Linked DNA regions of Drosophila melanogaster. The protein of the gene in region 1 interacts with the protein of each later gene in a pairwise test. Each region holds a gene or a part of one and is shown in the gene's direction. Other genes may lie near its edges.

Region 1 (3,432 bases):
TGATTGGCCAACTGGCTTTGGTGATCTACATGTGGGTGCAGAAGGACAAGTACCTGGAGATCATGGGCGACGTGGTCGAGAAGGCCTGGAACCATCGCACCAGTCGTTCCGACTACATGGACGCGATTCAGATCAGCGTAAGTATTTAGGGACTTCCAAGGACATGTGACCCGCCTTCAACTGACTTTCTGCCGCTCCCGCAGATGAAATGCTGCGGACGCAGTGGCTACACCGACTACGCCTACCAGGGCAAGTTCCCTCCCTCCTGCTGCAGCGACACCAACAACTGCCGCTGGGAGACCGTCTACCGGCGGGGATGCAAGGTCACCTTCGTTGAGTTCTGGGACAGGAACAGCGACATCATCAAGTATGCCGGTCTGGTCATCGCCGCCATCGAAGTAAGTTATTGTCCAGAGTAACGCAATCGAACGAAATCGATCATCGAATCTAGGTGCTTCCCCATGTGAATTTCGAAAATATGATGGATGGGTTCATGTTACCTACCTTCCATTGTGATTTCTTGGGGATAACCAAAAAGTACTAAGTAATGTAAATCATAATTCGTAGCAATGCAGTTTAGTTTGTTATTTTACCATAAGCGTTATGAGATTTACACCTACATGTATATTCTTCCAATATACCATACTCTGTTTGCTTTCAGTTTGTGGGATTCGTTTTCGCCTGTTGCTTGGCGAACAGCATTCGGAACTATAGACGCCGTGCGGAATATTAATCGACAAAGGACTAAGGCCTTGCACTAATTTTAATTGAAACCGAAAGTACGAATTATGTTGCCCAATTTTACGAATATTTACCTGATACAGATGGCCATTCAAATTTGCATAATCTCAAGCGTAAGCAGCAAATGCAGCAAATCCAATGACGAATGCGTAACGATCACTTTTGTAAGATCGTTTGTTCAAAGTTACACTGAATGTGCTAATATGTTTAACTGTACAAAATAACTTATACTCCTGGAGATTGCAATAAACGGAGAAATTTATTTACAATTTACGAAAAGAGTTCAGTCTTTGTCTTAATGGGAAAGCTTACATTGTTTGCAATTCGACTTAATCCCTAAAGCACCTATTTTTCTAAATTGCCACGGGAGGATTTCGGCCATTCGCGATAACGTTTTAATCTGCAAAGTAATAAGTATAAATAGAGTTGGCCGAAACCAACAAGTACACTTTGATTACAGATCATTATCAATCATTGGCTCTATTGACATATTTCCGTAGAACTAACCTATCAGAAGACTATATTTAGTTAGTTAGCTTTTTAGGGCTCAGACGAAATCTTATCTCCATTGAGCTATTTTATCTATGAAGGGCACATAGCCGTTTTGTGAATGTCAATGGGAAATTATTCCGCCGTGGAAACCCCAATAGTTGCCAAAATCTTGTTGAAGTTAGGCTGGGAGTGCACTCGCTAAAAGGTTTATTGCTCGATTGATAGTACATAAATCTAGGCGATAAGATCGGGGACTCACGGGGAAACGGACTCCAAGCAACGTAATATGTGAGTCAGCGTGCACCGCGTACTCTTGACTGGTGATAAGGCAAGGTGTGGAGGGTGTGAATGATTCATCTTATGAACGATCTAACGCCCCCAAGATGGAATCGCACGAGGGCTAGATAAAATTCCGCCACCAGCAGTTTGCACCTACCATTCGTTGAATGAATCATTGCGCCAAGGATGTAATTTCCCAGGTTCGGACCACCACAATGATCTGGTATCTCGTGGGTGCAAAGCGATTCACCAAGTACAAGTACATGGGCATCGGAGCTTCCAGCACAAGTACATACGGAATTTTATGGCCGAGATAAGAGCGCAGCCGATAAGATGAGGACTCCGAGTAAGCTTTAATAGCCGCGTTCTGTCCGAGGGCCCATTCAGTTAGACGAACATCGTCACATCGAACGAACGGATTATCCAGCTAGCCAACGAGAAACCCGAACAGAACCCAGCACCATGAACTGTCTATCCGCGATGTTCAAGTACCTGCTGTACTTGCTCAACCTGGTGTTCGTGGCCGGTGGCATCCTGCTCATTGTGGTGGGCTCCATCATGCTCTCCACGATGGGCAACTTTACGGCCTTCGACGGAGGCGTTAACACCCAGACCATCCCGATCTGCATTATCGTCATCGGAAGTGTCACCTTCGTAGTGGCCTTCTTCGGATGCTGCGGCACCATTCGCGAGAACGCCTGCTGCACCACCATCGTAAGCACTCGGAAATCACCCACTGACCGAAATTGGATTCTAAATGACTTGGCATTCCTTTCAGTACGCCATCTGCATGCTGATTCTGTTCGGCCTGCAACTGGCCCTCTCCATCTGGATCTTCGCGGCCAACGACAAGTTCCTGTCCAGCATGGGCAAGGCAGTGGACAAGGCGTGGGATGAGAACAATGCCGCCCAGGGATACCCCATGGATGCCCTCCAGTTGGCCGTAAGTTTATCGAAATTCACCATCAGATGTCATTAGTTTTTTCCGGATATTTACGTATCTATTCCATTGCAGTTCTCTTGCTGTGGCAACACGGGATACCAACAGTATGAAACCGTGCCCAGCTCCTGCTGCGGCTACAAGGATCGCACCAAGGTGTGCGAAGCGGAGATCTACAGCCAGCGACCTGGCTGCCGGCAGGAGTTCGTCGATTTCTGGGCCTCCAATACGGACCTGATTCGATGGAGCAGTCTGATCATCGCCCTCTTCGAGCTGGGCATCTTCATCATGTCGTGCTGCCTGGCCAGCGCGATGAGGAAGCGCTAGAGCCGAAGTCAGATACAATCCTTAGACGTAGCCCAGTTCATAGCATAAATCCAACACACGAATTCCTCACTCACTCACTCACCGTAAATAAACCAGAATAGGTTAAGCCCAATGAAATATTATTGCTTATTCGCTGTCTACCTCTGGCTGCCGTCTATCTAATCAAGACAGGTTGATGTTTTTCCAAAAAGTATGTCCTTATCGGCCTGTTAGCCGAGTGCCGCGTTTCCGAGATCGAATGCCCTCAGTAGTGGTGAATCACCTCCATATGGCAATGGCTATCGATCTCCGCCCGCCGCCCAGTGCCCATTATCTATTTTTCGTTTCGGCCATGATTATGATAACAGGCACTTGCGTATCTTTCCTCCGATAGCGCCCGTGTCTGTTGGCCAATTTAAAAACAGTAGCCCATCTGGAGGAGCAGTCCAATCGAACGACAGTAAACGACGCGAGTGCGCGATAAAATCAGAGACACCGACAACTCCTTTGGATAAAACAATAGTGTTTATTTAATTCTACTAAATACAGGAGCAAACTATATACTTTCAAAATGGGTTGTCTATCGGGAATAGTCAACTTTATTTTATATATTGTCAATATCGTGTTTTTGGTAAGTGCTTGTCGGTTGAGTATCTAAGTAAAAGGAATTAATA
Region 2 (5,258 bases), 1.0 Mb from region 1:
GTGGGGGAGAATAACTAATGATATTTCCAGTTATATGCGAAATTGCAACATATAATAGTAAAGGGATATAAAAGTATATACAATAGTATAGGGATTCATATAGCAATATTGGGATTCTTTAGGGTGACAGGACAAAGGAGTTGAAATGAACATTTTAACATAGATATCTACAGAAGAATTATTTTTGCATAACGATAATTCAAGTATAGTTTTTATTAGGGAAAGTTATGTCAAACCACAACGTACATATATATGTAAATATATCAGCTCCACCGTATACTGTTTTTCATTCGCATTTTAATTGTTTTTAATCTACTGCTAGCTTTAAACACACATTCCGTGCGGCTGATATAAGAAATAATGGGAAATTTTGGATGAAATAGTTTATCATAATAAAATTTATAGGTAATATTGACATTGATCAGCTTGTTATATTGAATTTATGAACACAATACTGTCAAAATATATTACATTAAAGTTAATGGGGAAACATTAACCAAAACAGACAGAACGTTAATTTCGATGTTAACTATCTCAGCTTGTAAAATCATTAGAAAAACTGACAAATTTTGGTGGAATAGCGATCAAAGCTGTCAAAAAAAATAGTGAAATCAAAAATATCAAAACATTTTTCAAAAGTTTTAGATTGACAGCTTGTGGCCATTAGACTGGGAGTGGCCAAAATATTTTTAAAAAATATGACAATTTTGCAAAAGTATGGACGTGGCAGTTTTAGCCGGTTTGTGTCCTTAAGAGTAGGCGTTGCAATCTTCTGTAACAATCTAGCTCTTAATCCTAGTAACTAGTTTTACATTCATGCTTTTATAGTTCCCGAGAGCTCAGCGTTCATACAATTACAAGGAACAATTAAGGAAGTTATAAGATTAGCCAATTCAGCAAAAAATTTAGAATGGATTAAATCATGTGAATATTCGAAATGCAGTGACAAAGCGCATCTAAGAGTTTATAATGGCAAATCAAAAAGATAAAGAAAAAGATAAAGCTCACGTCTGCTTTTTCGTAAAATTGTACAACATATTTACGTTTTACCGTCGCCATCCAAGTTCCTTATATCCCTTTGTGATGAAACGCTGCTTTCGATAACATTAAAGTGAATTATTTCCGCATTAGCATATTTCTAGGTAAACAAGTCGATTTTACCTCGGGCAATTTCTAGGTCAACTTCGGTCACCTGCTGCCGCAGTCGTTGTTATCTCGTCTCCTGCTCCTGCTTCTGCACCTGTGGATGTTCCCGTTCCCATTCCGGACCCGGGATGCCGCAACCTTGAGCCGGCACTGACCTAGAACTGTGTGGGCCACCCACCAGCACGCGTCCCACTGCACAGATAGAGGTCAACGGCGGCTGTTGCACTTGTTGGGGCTTTACCCGGCGCCACGCGATGCCACACGACCGGCGCGTGCTCCAGTTTGAGTTCCATGGACGGGTGCAGCCGCTCCAGCGGCAAACAAGTGGACGGCGGACGCCGCCAGTTTGTCGCCCACGGCGCCGATTAAAGGCCGTGCTGCAGATGCTTTAGATGCTTTAGATGCTTTAGAGGCTGCTGAAAGGCTATATCAGATGGTCGGGCGATACAATCGGATGAATCGATGACAGAGGCTTGCTCATTTGCCGGCGCTGGTCGCTCCTTGTCGCACACTCTCACTTGCTCACTTGGCGGCGATCGCCGCGCGGCGAATATGTTTGCTTCCCGTTTCCTACCCCAATCTCGGCAAGCACGCGCTGCGCGTTGCCAGGGGGTGGTTGCTGCTGCATCTTATTGGACGGCTGCCGCAGGCGGTAAAAAGGGGTTGAGCGGCGGCAGCGGAGGGCAGGTCGTCCGCTCGACGTGTGCTACAGAATCAGTCGAACGCCGTTCGCGCACACGATAAGTCACGTGCTCAAACTAGCTCCGCCAGCCCGGTCTAGCCGCCAACTGCATCTGCCTCTGCAACTAGCAGCACGCAAAGCTACAGCTCAGCAACAGCAACATCAACACAGTAGTGTCAAGTGCGCAGGAGCAGCGAGTAAACACTGGTCACCACACACAATGGATCACAACATGCACGTCAATGCGCCATCGCTGCATCACTGGGGCTACGCCGCCGGACCCGGCGTGGTCATGCCCGGCGCCACCGCCACCACACCCCAGAGCCACTGGGTGCCGCCGCCGCAGAGCCACCACAGCGCCCACAGCAACCACAGCCACGGGCATAGCCAGGGCCATAGCCACGGCATCGGCAGCCTGAAGCGGACGCTTTCCGAGAGCGACTGCGACGATCTCTACTCCGAGGAGTCCTCCAAGGAACAGTGCGTACTCGTGACTTCTTATCAAAATTTGTTTTTCAATTTAGTGCACAAAAAGCTATTCGCAGTTCCCAAGTTAGGAGTTGTCTTGTAAAATGAAACCTTTGAAAATACCATGCGATGTGCAAACGTTTTATGTTGCTAAAAAAAATAGTGCGTCATGATATTTACTTAGTGAATCGAAGTCATGGATAACTCCACTTAACGCAAAGTTGCTGATAAACCATCAAAATATAAATCACTAAACTATAGGGTTTTAAGAAAAGATAGATTTTAAAATGTTCTGTAACTTAGAGGTTTTTTTAGTAACACCATAGAGTGTTTTTCAGTCTATGAAAGATTAAGATATTAAGATTAAGAATCTATCATTAACTTCAATCCATAGCTAATAGAAACCCTTTCCTCTGTTCCATTAGAATCTCGCCCAGTGAGCCGGGCAGCTGCCAACTGATGAGCCGCAAGAAGCGACGCGGAGTGATCGAGAAGAAGCGGCGGGATCGGATCAACTCCTCGCTCACCGAACTCAAGCGCCTGGTGCCCTCCGCCTACGAGAAGCAGGGATCCGCCAAGCTGGAGAAGGCCGAAATCCTTCAGCTGACCGTGGAGCATCTCAAGAGTCTGCAGTCTAAAAGTAAGTTTACCAAGCCCACTTGAGCTAGCTTAAAGAGGTTTTAAAAAGCAAATAGGCTAGCTGCACCACAGACCTCCTCACTGAAGTTAAACGCTTCTATGGGTCATTAATCACAATAGGAGCAAATAGAGGGTTAACTTGGGCAGCCAACTAAGTTGGTTAACTAAAAGAAGTAAAGTGTAAAGAAAGTAATTTCTTATTTCGACAGTTAATATTACATTAGGGCCCATTTAGCGCACTAATTAATCAAGGCATATCTGACATACATATGAACTTCAATACATTATAAAAAATTGGAATGGGAAAAACTGCAAGCAGAATCCCTAAACGCAAGCCGCTGTGGGAAACAATTGAGTAACGATATTAAATACAATATGCGGCAAATTATCACAAATCTGGGTAAACAATCCTGACCTGTTGTCCCGAACAGGGTCGAATTGTGGGAAAATTATGATTGCCGTAGGCAAAGCAGGACCACCACCACCAGCGCCAGCCTAGCGCTCAAGTGAATCTCGAATCTCGGGGCTTCCCACGCTCAGTAGCGGCACCACCACGATGGCAACCTTGTAGCCAGGCGCGGGCTTTCACCCCCCGATAGCCACCTCACAACAAGCCATCCCGCCGAAGGACATGGGGGTTGTTCTTTATGCTCGTCGCGTGGGAACAGCTATTTTAATTGTTTGCCTGAACTGGGATTAGACAGCTTATTGACTTTCTCCACCTCCTCGTATCTTGTTGCAGCTCTCGACTCGCTTAGCTATGATCCGCAGCGAGTGGCCATGGACTACCATATCATTGGGTTCCGCGAGTGCGCCGCAGAGGTGGCCCGCTATTTGGTCACCATCGAGGGCATGGACATTCAGGATCCTCTGCGCCTGCGCCTTATGTCCCACCTCCAGTACTTTGTGCAGCAGCGCGAACTGTCGGCCAAGAGCTGCGCCAGTCCGGGTGGCTGGTCTCCGGCTGCTCCCAGCTCCTCCGGCTATCAGCCAAACTGTGCGGCTGCTCCCTACCAGAGCTATGCGGCGCCAGCCAACCCGGGTGCCTATGTGTCCAGCTACCCCACACTAAGTGCCTCGCCCTCTCAGCAGGCTCAGCAACTGGGAGGACGCACCAGTGTCTCGCGGACAAGTGGAAGTGCCGTAACTGAATCGCTGCCCAGCCATGATCTCCACTCTGACAGCAGCAGCCAACAGCAGCAGCAACAGCAGCAGCAACAGCAGCAGCAGCAGCAACACCAACAGCAGCAGCATCAGCAGCAACAGCAACGGACGCAGACAACACCTCAGCCGACGCAGCAGCAACACTATACCCACGACCACAGCGCAGTGCATTCCGAGCAGCAGGTTCCCACCTACATAGAGCTGACCAACAGCAATCGTCCAGCGGCCATAGGTTCCGATAGCCTTAGCTATAGTGCTGCTCCTCAGTATCCGGTCAGCGGACTGCCAGGCCAGGACTACAACAACTCCAGTGTGCTGCAGTACGCCACTCCCAACGGAGCAAAGCCCTATCGTCCTTGGGGCGCCGAGATGGCCTATTGATTGTGGGCATAAGCCTCAGAAGGGATATTTCAACCTCTAGTCAGAGCAGACCAAGTGTGATAGTCTTAAGTTTCGCATCCTACACAGAGAGAAAAAAATGGAGAAACAACGCAGTGAGATTAGCTAGTCCCGTAAGCCTTTAAGCTTAAGTTATACCCTATGATAACTATAACTTTGAACACTTTGTGAATCTATTGTAAATAAACGCATGAGTGTATAAGTGAATATGTTGAAACTCGCTTGATAATTGATATTCGGATCAGGAAAGCCTTTCTAGTTGTTATATTTCGTGAAATCTCGACGTTCATACAGACGGACAGACGGACATGGCCAGATTGAATCAGGTATTGATTCCGATCAAAAATATATATATAATATATAATATATAAGAATATATATAATCCACGAGTAACGGGTATAATTATTAAAAACAATCAAAAAAGTTTAAACAAGTAGTGACGATCCACATTCAAAAATTTGAGGTATATCAATGACGCATACTTTGATTAGTGCTATTATTGGATTATCAGAGAAAATATTAATTTTAACGAACATTCTTGAGGTGCGCTTTGTCACTGCGAGGACTACCAGTTCGCCGTCATAGCGGCTGAATTATCCTTAGCTAAATGGGAACAATTCGTTGCAGCGAAAAATTTACCGAATTCTTTTTAGTTTTACACGTCAGATAGCTTAGGGTTTCTAAAAAAAAATTCCAAGAAATTAAGTTCGGTCTATGGGAGAAGACAGTTCGAGGCGCCTCCCGCGCTGGTGGTTTGGA
Region 3 (3,602 bases), about 15 Mb from region 1:
GTAGAGGAATGCGGCCAGGCACTCGTTCTCGCAGTTGAGTCGCGTATAGATACGATAAAAGATCAGCTCCTTCTCGTTCTTGAACAGGCACTGCCGGCCATCGCGGGATATAGATCGAATGGCCGGAACCGCCTCGGCACGAACCATCTCAATTCGATAGTTGGTTTCGTAGCCAATGGCTGAGATGAGGCCCGCCTCCTTCACCTTGGGAACTTCGATGGGATTGTGAAAGTAAACCTGGAAATGGCGGGTATGATGGGTAAAGGCAGTATGTATATTAAAGGCTTACTTTAAAACCAGGTCCATTGGTCGAAGAGCAATAGTATTCGCCCATCTCAGCATCAAGTACGGCAGTAAATCCCAAGGTGATACCAGTGCCTATAGTACATATTTGAAATACTCTATTCATTAACGATTCTCTGATATTTTACCACTAGCGGTGGCTGGATAGAACTTGGGGGGCAATTGTTCCGGATATCCTGACTCCGGATCCCACATAACACTTTCAAACCCATCAGAGTTCGTCAAGTTCCGGTTGTTATTTGCACTGTCAAAACAATAAATCAATTATTTTAATTTAATGAACCCATCTAGTTACAATGGCTTGTAGAGATATTCCGGTGGTTGAAAATTGAAGACGCAACACAGGCCCTCATCCGTCAGGATCTGCTGAAACAGTTGCGAACAGTTTCGCTCCACGGCACTGAATCTACAAAAAAGCAACATTCTCTCGCAGGACTGCGAGTGATTTGAAACAAATTCGGATATCTTCAGGTTGTTCGTGACAAAATTCGAAGCGGAGAACTCCTCATCAGCCTCACTGGATTCCCAGCTATCCGATTCACATAATAGCTTCAGAAGGGCACTTTCATTGGAGCCCCTGGAACATAATTTAATTTCAAAATGATGGATGGACGATTGCCTTAGAGGAAAACCGAACTTACTCTCTGTAATTGGCTACCAGACTCCTCTGCACCTGGTTCATATTGCATATGGTTATTGCCGGAAAAGGAACCTTCAAAATGGAGGTGGCCTGTGGGCTGATGCCGATTATAACCGGCGTGCTATCCCACTTCACATAGATGTTCGATATGAGGTGCACCGTGATGATGAGGGCGGTGACAAAGGAGCCAAGGAAAAACGATCTAAAAAGGGTTTTGCAAATGTAGCTCAAAATCCGCACTTGGATGTGCTCCTTTCCCACCTCTCCCAGCTACTCAGGCCGGAATCGCCCACAAACTTGAGTCCATGCAGACTAGTCTGGTTGAGGAACTGCCGCAGACTCCTGACGAAGCTCTTCAGCAGAAATAACGAGGATCCCTGCCTTTCCGTTCCGGCTGACGGCGACGGTTCCATAGCGAACTGTTTACTTAATGACCCTTGACACCTGCATAAATACTTGATATCGCAAGCAATCAGGTGTCGGCACACTTATTAAAGAGGCATGTAATTAAGGTTTTACCCCGATTACGGCGGCATTCGAAGGAGTGAATCCTTTCAAGTTAATTAAATTCTCAATGCTGGCTTGCCGTTGGCGTTTAAATGTATATGTATGTATTCATGGCACACGCCATCAAGCATACGACGTGTGGCCCGTCTTGATAACATGTATAAGTGCATGGCCGCAGTTTTACACCACCCCGCGCTTGATATCAAACTTTAATTCGGTTAGCTTTGGAGTTTATCAAATTATATTGAACTCGGGTTCAATGAATCACATTCAATCATACTGAACGCAAACTTTTCGCCGCAAAAACATAGAAAGCGAGCTTTTTACCGGCGACCCATTAGCTTTGGCCTCGAAAGCTTGATAAAATAAAGCTCAACCGCACGTGATGTTACAGCAACCGGTTATCAAGTTAGTTCTCTTTCTGACATATCGGAGATCGGTGCCTATTTATTTACCTTAGTAGCACAGATCATGAGAATCCGGAGCAACCCAATGCCCAGCCGGATGGTGGACATCTTGTGCTTCCTCATCATTGCGGTCTTTCTCCCGGTGGTGTTTATGTTCGAGATTGTGGTGGTGCTGCCTGCCTTCCATGAACCGGGTGGCTTCTTCCACACCTTCACCTTTCTTATGGCCATGTTCCTGGTGTTTAACATCAAGGGAAACATGATTGCCTGCATGATGATTGACACAAGTGTAAATGGTAAGTCGCAGCAGGTCTTATAATAAATCCGATAAAATGCATATCCCATTTCCAGTGAAAAAGGTGGAACCACCATCGGATCAGTTGAATTGGCGTGAGTGCGGCGAGTGCCAGAAGCTAGCACCACCCAGATCTTGGCATTGCAAGGCCTGCAAAGTGTGCATTCTGAAGCGGGATCACCACTGTATCTACACCGGCTGCTGCATTGGACTCAGAAACCATCGCTTCTTCATGGGCTTTATATTCTATCTCTTCGTGGGATCAGTTTACGCACTGGTGTACAACTCCATATACATGTGGGTCATCCACGGCCACATCTACAGCAACTGGGTGACGGTGTTAAAACTCGCCTGCCCCATGTTACACCTGGTAACGGGCAGTTTTTGGACCAACATGTACCTGGTCTTCTACAGCTTAAATATTTTAGCTCTGGCTTATGGAGTCCTCCTCCTGGCCTACCATGTGCCCATTGTTTTAAGGGGCGGTGTTTCCGCCGATCGCACTAAGGAGAGCAAAGAAAAGTACGACAGAGGAGTGTATCAAAATCTAAGGAGCGTTTTTGGAAACCGCATGCATTTAGCGTGGCTGTCCCCACTGATTCGCAGCGATCTGCCGGAAGACGGATACCACTGGAATGTCCCTACGAACAAACAAGACTAAGACTGATTAGGATCTAGGATAAATATCTGCTGTGCAGTTCCTACCTGGGGATCCCGTAAATGACTACTGTGACTTTGGCAACCTCTGGCTGGTTAAATGTTAGTCTTAAGATAGTGAAGTTGTAACCAATACCGCCGGACAGAACGGACGCCTGGCCTTTCCATTCCATTTCACTTTCATCGATGACCAATATCATGTTTATATGAAAGCACATGCTACCCTGTACAAAAATACCTAAGAGATCTTCCACTTTATTTAAAGTAATATATTTAAAATACCTTTTGTGTGTACTTCACGTCTACGAAATCCACAAATTCAGTGGTGAATATTTCAGTCTCATATATGGGAACAGCTAGAAAGTGCAGCATGCCAAATTGTACGGAGTGGCATGCAACTTCTGCATAAGCAAGTATTGCCAGCAGCAACAGACCACACGTATTGGCCATTTCTAAAAACTAAACCCATCATTCTTTGTTACCACACCTGCGCGGCCAATTGTCCCCGTCTATAACTGATTTGATGACTAGACAAGCAAACATAGATTGATAACAAAAATAATATTTTTTATTGATCTATCAAAGCTTTCTTTGATGGACCCGCCTCCACTCTCCGTATAACCGACTTGCACTCCTCGTTGCGGAAGACCCGATGGTAGGAGGTTATCTTGCCCAGAGACGAAACGAAATTCTCGTCGTGAGTGATGATGATGAGCATAAAGTTGGACTGGCTTTGGCGCTCCTCCACGATGCAATTCAGGGCTTCACATAGCGAGTTTATATTGGCGCGATC
Region 4 (3,130 bases), on another chromosome or scaffold:
CATAGAAACAAAACAAGGGTTCAAAATAACAGCGGTCGCATGGGTGTTTACAATTGGGCGACGGTGTACGCAGGGGCGGTGTACCGCAGAGGCGTGGCATAGGCAGCGGTACGCAGAACGGGAGCGGGAGCAGCCACCGCCAGAGGGGCGGAGCGGACGAACGGAGCGGCAACTGCTAGGGGAGCGGACTTGATCAGAGGAGCAGCGACGGCCACTGGAGCGGAGCGCACAATGGGAGCTGGTGCGGCCAAGGCGACAGGGGCGATGGGGGCGACTGGAGCGGCCTTGACCAATGGGGCAGCAACCTTCAGCAACGGCTCGGCGGCCACAACAGCGGCAAGGGGTTCACGGCGGACGACGGCGTTGAATCCGTTAATGGAATCGGCGGTATAGGTCACGGTGCGCTTAAAGCCATCGGCGTCGATCAGGGAGTACTCGCCGCGGACCACGTCACCATCGCGCTCCTCCACATGCCCCTTGTTGTCGCCGGAAAGCGTGTCCTGCACGTCGTAGCTGTAGGTGTACTGAGGATGCGGATCAACCTCCTCCAACTCAACGGTCTTGGCCAAAACTGGCACCGGAGCAGAAGCCACTGCCACTGGAGCAGCAGTTCTAAGGACGGCGCCATGGGCCACGGCGAACAGAGCCAAAGCGATAACAATCTGCGGAATAAATTACACTCTTTTTAGGATTTTTTTTTCCAAGATAAAAAGGCGAAGGCAGTCTGGTAATCCACTAGTAGTCCCCCGGAACGTTTATCCTCCAATTGGTAGCACAAACCTTTGCTGCCATTGTAGTTGGATGAATTTGATTAACTGCTGTCTTGAGCCGAAGCCAAACACTGAATGTCTGACCCATTGTGGGCCGTTTATTTTATACGCTACTTGGTGACATTGATGACACCTAATTGGAATTCATTTTTGGCGCATCACCTCGAGCGGCGCCGGTGGCATGTAAAAATTGTCACGCACCTTCTTCAGTTCTGCCAATTTCGATCGGTCGAAATAACCAGCTGCACTTAATTGATTACGCCAAGCCAATTTTAATTACTATTTTCCTTAAACTTGGAGTCTTCTTATTCAATTTTGTTGTTTTTCTTTTGGAAAGTACAACAAAGTAAGTGTGTATAATTGAACCCATTTTTTATAAAAAGGGAATAAAAGTTCTGATCTTATTTGTTTAAATATTTGCTAGTCAAATTATTAAATACGTTTTGAGTTTGTATCCATAGGTTTGTCTTGGTGAGGTATAATGAATATTTTATGTTGGGATCATAATTTGATTATTATGTATTTAAAACACATTTCCTACAAAGTTGTATAATTTTATTAACCTACATAAAATATTACAAATATGTTACAAAAAAAAGTTTTAAGCATGTTAAAAAGCTGTTCGCCTGTGAACTATCTTCAAATTTTGGAAACCAAAGGTGGGTGATAAAAAATAATAATTTTAATTTAATAAAGCTACGATAATTTAGATGTTTTGAGTTAATATCTTTTTAAGCGACCTTTTTGCCACAATATTAACTGTCTTGTAAGCTAACTGGATTTAGTAAGCAGTGATGTCACAGCGCACGCTCTCCGTTTCTCTCGGATAAATTGAAGTTATTTGATGACAAAACACAGAGATACAAAGATTGAGCACGCCTTCAAGCTTCACTTTTCCCTCTCCACACACGTTTAGCATAAATGAATTGCACTAATTACGCCAAGAGCGTGGCCCGCCGGCAAAAGCGAGTTCGGCCATTCAATGGTAGCAGCAGCTGAAGAAATAGCTCCATCTCGGTATATAAGCCAAGTGTTGGCCCAGTAGCCCTCACAGTTCATTTTGCCTTCCAACAACCAACAGCAGCAGCAGCAGCAGCCAAATCAATCCAAATCAAAATGGCATTCAAGGTTCGCCCCGAGGACTTAGCCCCGCCAAAGACCCACATCCTAACTGCTTTCCCTCTTTCAGTTCATCGCCCTCTTCGCCCTGATCGCCGCCGCCAGCGCCGGTGTTCTGCCCGTCCAGCAGGTGTACCACGCCGCCCCCGCCGTGGCCACCTACGCCCAAGCACCTGTCGCCGTTGCTCACGCCCAGCCGGTTCTTGCCAAGGCCGCCGAGGAGTACGATCCCCATCCCCAGTACAAGTACGCCTACGATGTTCAGGACTCCCTCTCCGGAGACTCCAAGAGCCAGGTGGAGGAGCGCGATGGCGACGTGGTCCGCGGAGAGTACTCCCTGATCGACGCCGATGGCTACAAGAGAACCGTCCAGTACACCGCCGATCCCATCAACGGATTCAACGCCGTTGTCAACCGTGAGCCCCTGGTCAAGGCCGTCGCCGTTGCCCCCGTTGTGAAGACCGTCGCCGCTCCCGTTGCCCACTACGCCGCCCCTGCTGTCGCCCATTACGCTGCTCCCGCTGTGGTCAAGACCGTGGCTCCGGTTGCCCACTACGCTGCTCCCGCCGTGGTCAAGACCGTGGCTCCAGTTGCCCACTACGCCGCTCCTGCTACCTACACCTCCTACGCCGCCCCCGCTGTTGCCTACCACCACTAAGAACTGTCATTTTACGTTTCTCAACCCATTACTGTTATAGTTTTACAATTGCCTCCTACAAATACACACAAATATTAAAAAAAATTTTTTTTTTTATTTTCATCTATTGATCATCTATTTTCATCAACGGCAGCTGAAACAATTTCGGATTTGTTTTATCCGGATAAAATTGAGTCAAGGAGATAGCGTCTTCATTAATGACATTCTAATGTGTTTCAATTAGATGTGTTAGCCATATTTAATACCTATAAAAAATACTGCAAAATCTTTACAAAAATAAAAAAAAAATCTCAAATATTTTGTTTAAATAATATGTGCAATTTTAAAACCATCAGCTTATATTTTTGATTGCATTAGATATTTTTATATTGATAGGGTATTGATGAAGTTATGATTAAAACTAACAGAGTCAACATAAAAAAGTTAATTCTTGAGAGTTATAGATATAACAATATTATTTTAAATATTTTTTTAAAAATGTATGATATGTTTATACCCTGCGCGTCTATCTAATCAAACTAAGCTTAATAAAATATGCAGTTGATAATAGACTATCAGATACGCTTTAGATATCATCAGCAAG

The links.
Region 2: the proteins of Tsp42Eb (region 1) and Hey interact in a two-hybrid assay, tested with the Drosophila melanogaster proteins (one large-scale study listed by BioGRID).
Region 3: the proteins of Tsp42Eb (region 1) and CG10344 interact in a two-hybrid assay, tested with the Drosophila melanogaster proteins (one large-scale study listed by BioGRID).
Region 4: the proteins of Tsp42Eb (region 1) and Ccp84Ad interact in a two-hybrid assay, tested with the Drosophila melanogaster proteins (one large-scale study listed by BioGRID).

Annotation. Positions count from the first base shown.
Region 1 is NT_033778.4:6,996,956-7,000,387, forward strand, and holds Tsp42Eb (tetraspanin 42Eb), read left to right. Parts: upstream 1-1,892; 5' UTR 1,893-1,974; coding exon 1,975-2,226; intron 2,227-2,290; coding exon 2,291-2,455; intron 2,456-2,527; coding exon 2,528-2,779; 3' UTR 2,780-2,893; downstream 2,894-3,432.
Region 2 is NT_033778.4:7,994,883-8,000,140, reverse strand, and holds Hey (Hairy/E(spl)-related with YRPW motif), read left to right. Parts: upstream 1-1,862; 5' UTR 1,863-2,048; coding exon 2,049-2,308; intron 2,309-2,721; coding exon 2,722-2,936; intron 2,937-3,677; coding exon 3,678-4,480; 3' UTR 4,481-4,703; downstream 4,704-5,258. Other genes in the region: Dic3 (dicarboxylate carrier 3), read left to right, coding at 5,214-5,258. UniProt on the Drosophila melanogaster protein: Transcriptional repressor which acts as a downstream effector of Notch signaling.
Region 3 is NT_033778.4:22,425,233-22,428,834, reverse strand, and holds CG10344 (uncharacterized protein), read left to right. Parts: upstream 1-1,857; 5' UTR 1,858-1,921; coding exon 1,922-2,153; intron 2,154-2,208; coding exon 2,209-2,813; 3' UTR 2,814-2,853; coding exon of another isoform or gene 2,854-3,033; 3' UTR 3,034-3,091; downstream 3,092-3,602. Other genes in the region: ppk12 (pickpocket 12), read right to left, coding at 1-237, 290-378, 432-547, 599-880, 945-1,145, 1,205-1,356; CG46442 (uncharacterized protein), read right to left, coding at 2,854-3,033, 3,092-3,259; rad50, read right to left, coding at 3,378-3,602.
Region 4 is NT_033777.3:6,690,912-6,694,041, forward strand, and holds Ccp84Ad (Ccp84Ad), read left to right. Parts: upstream 1-1,820; 5' UTR 1,821-1,886; coding exon 1,887-1,898; intron 1,899-1,959; coding exon 1,960-2,547; 3' UTR 2,548-2,616; downstream 2,617-3,130. Other genes in the region: Ccp84Ae, read right to left, coding at 48-662, 781-792.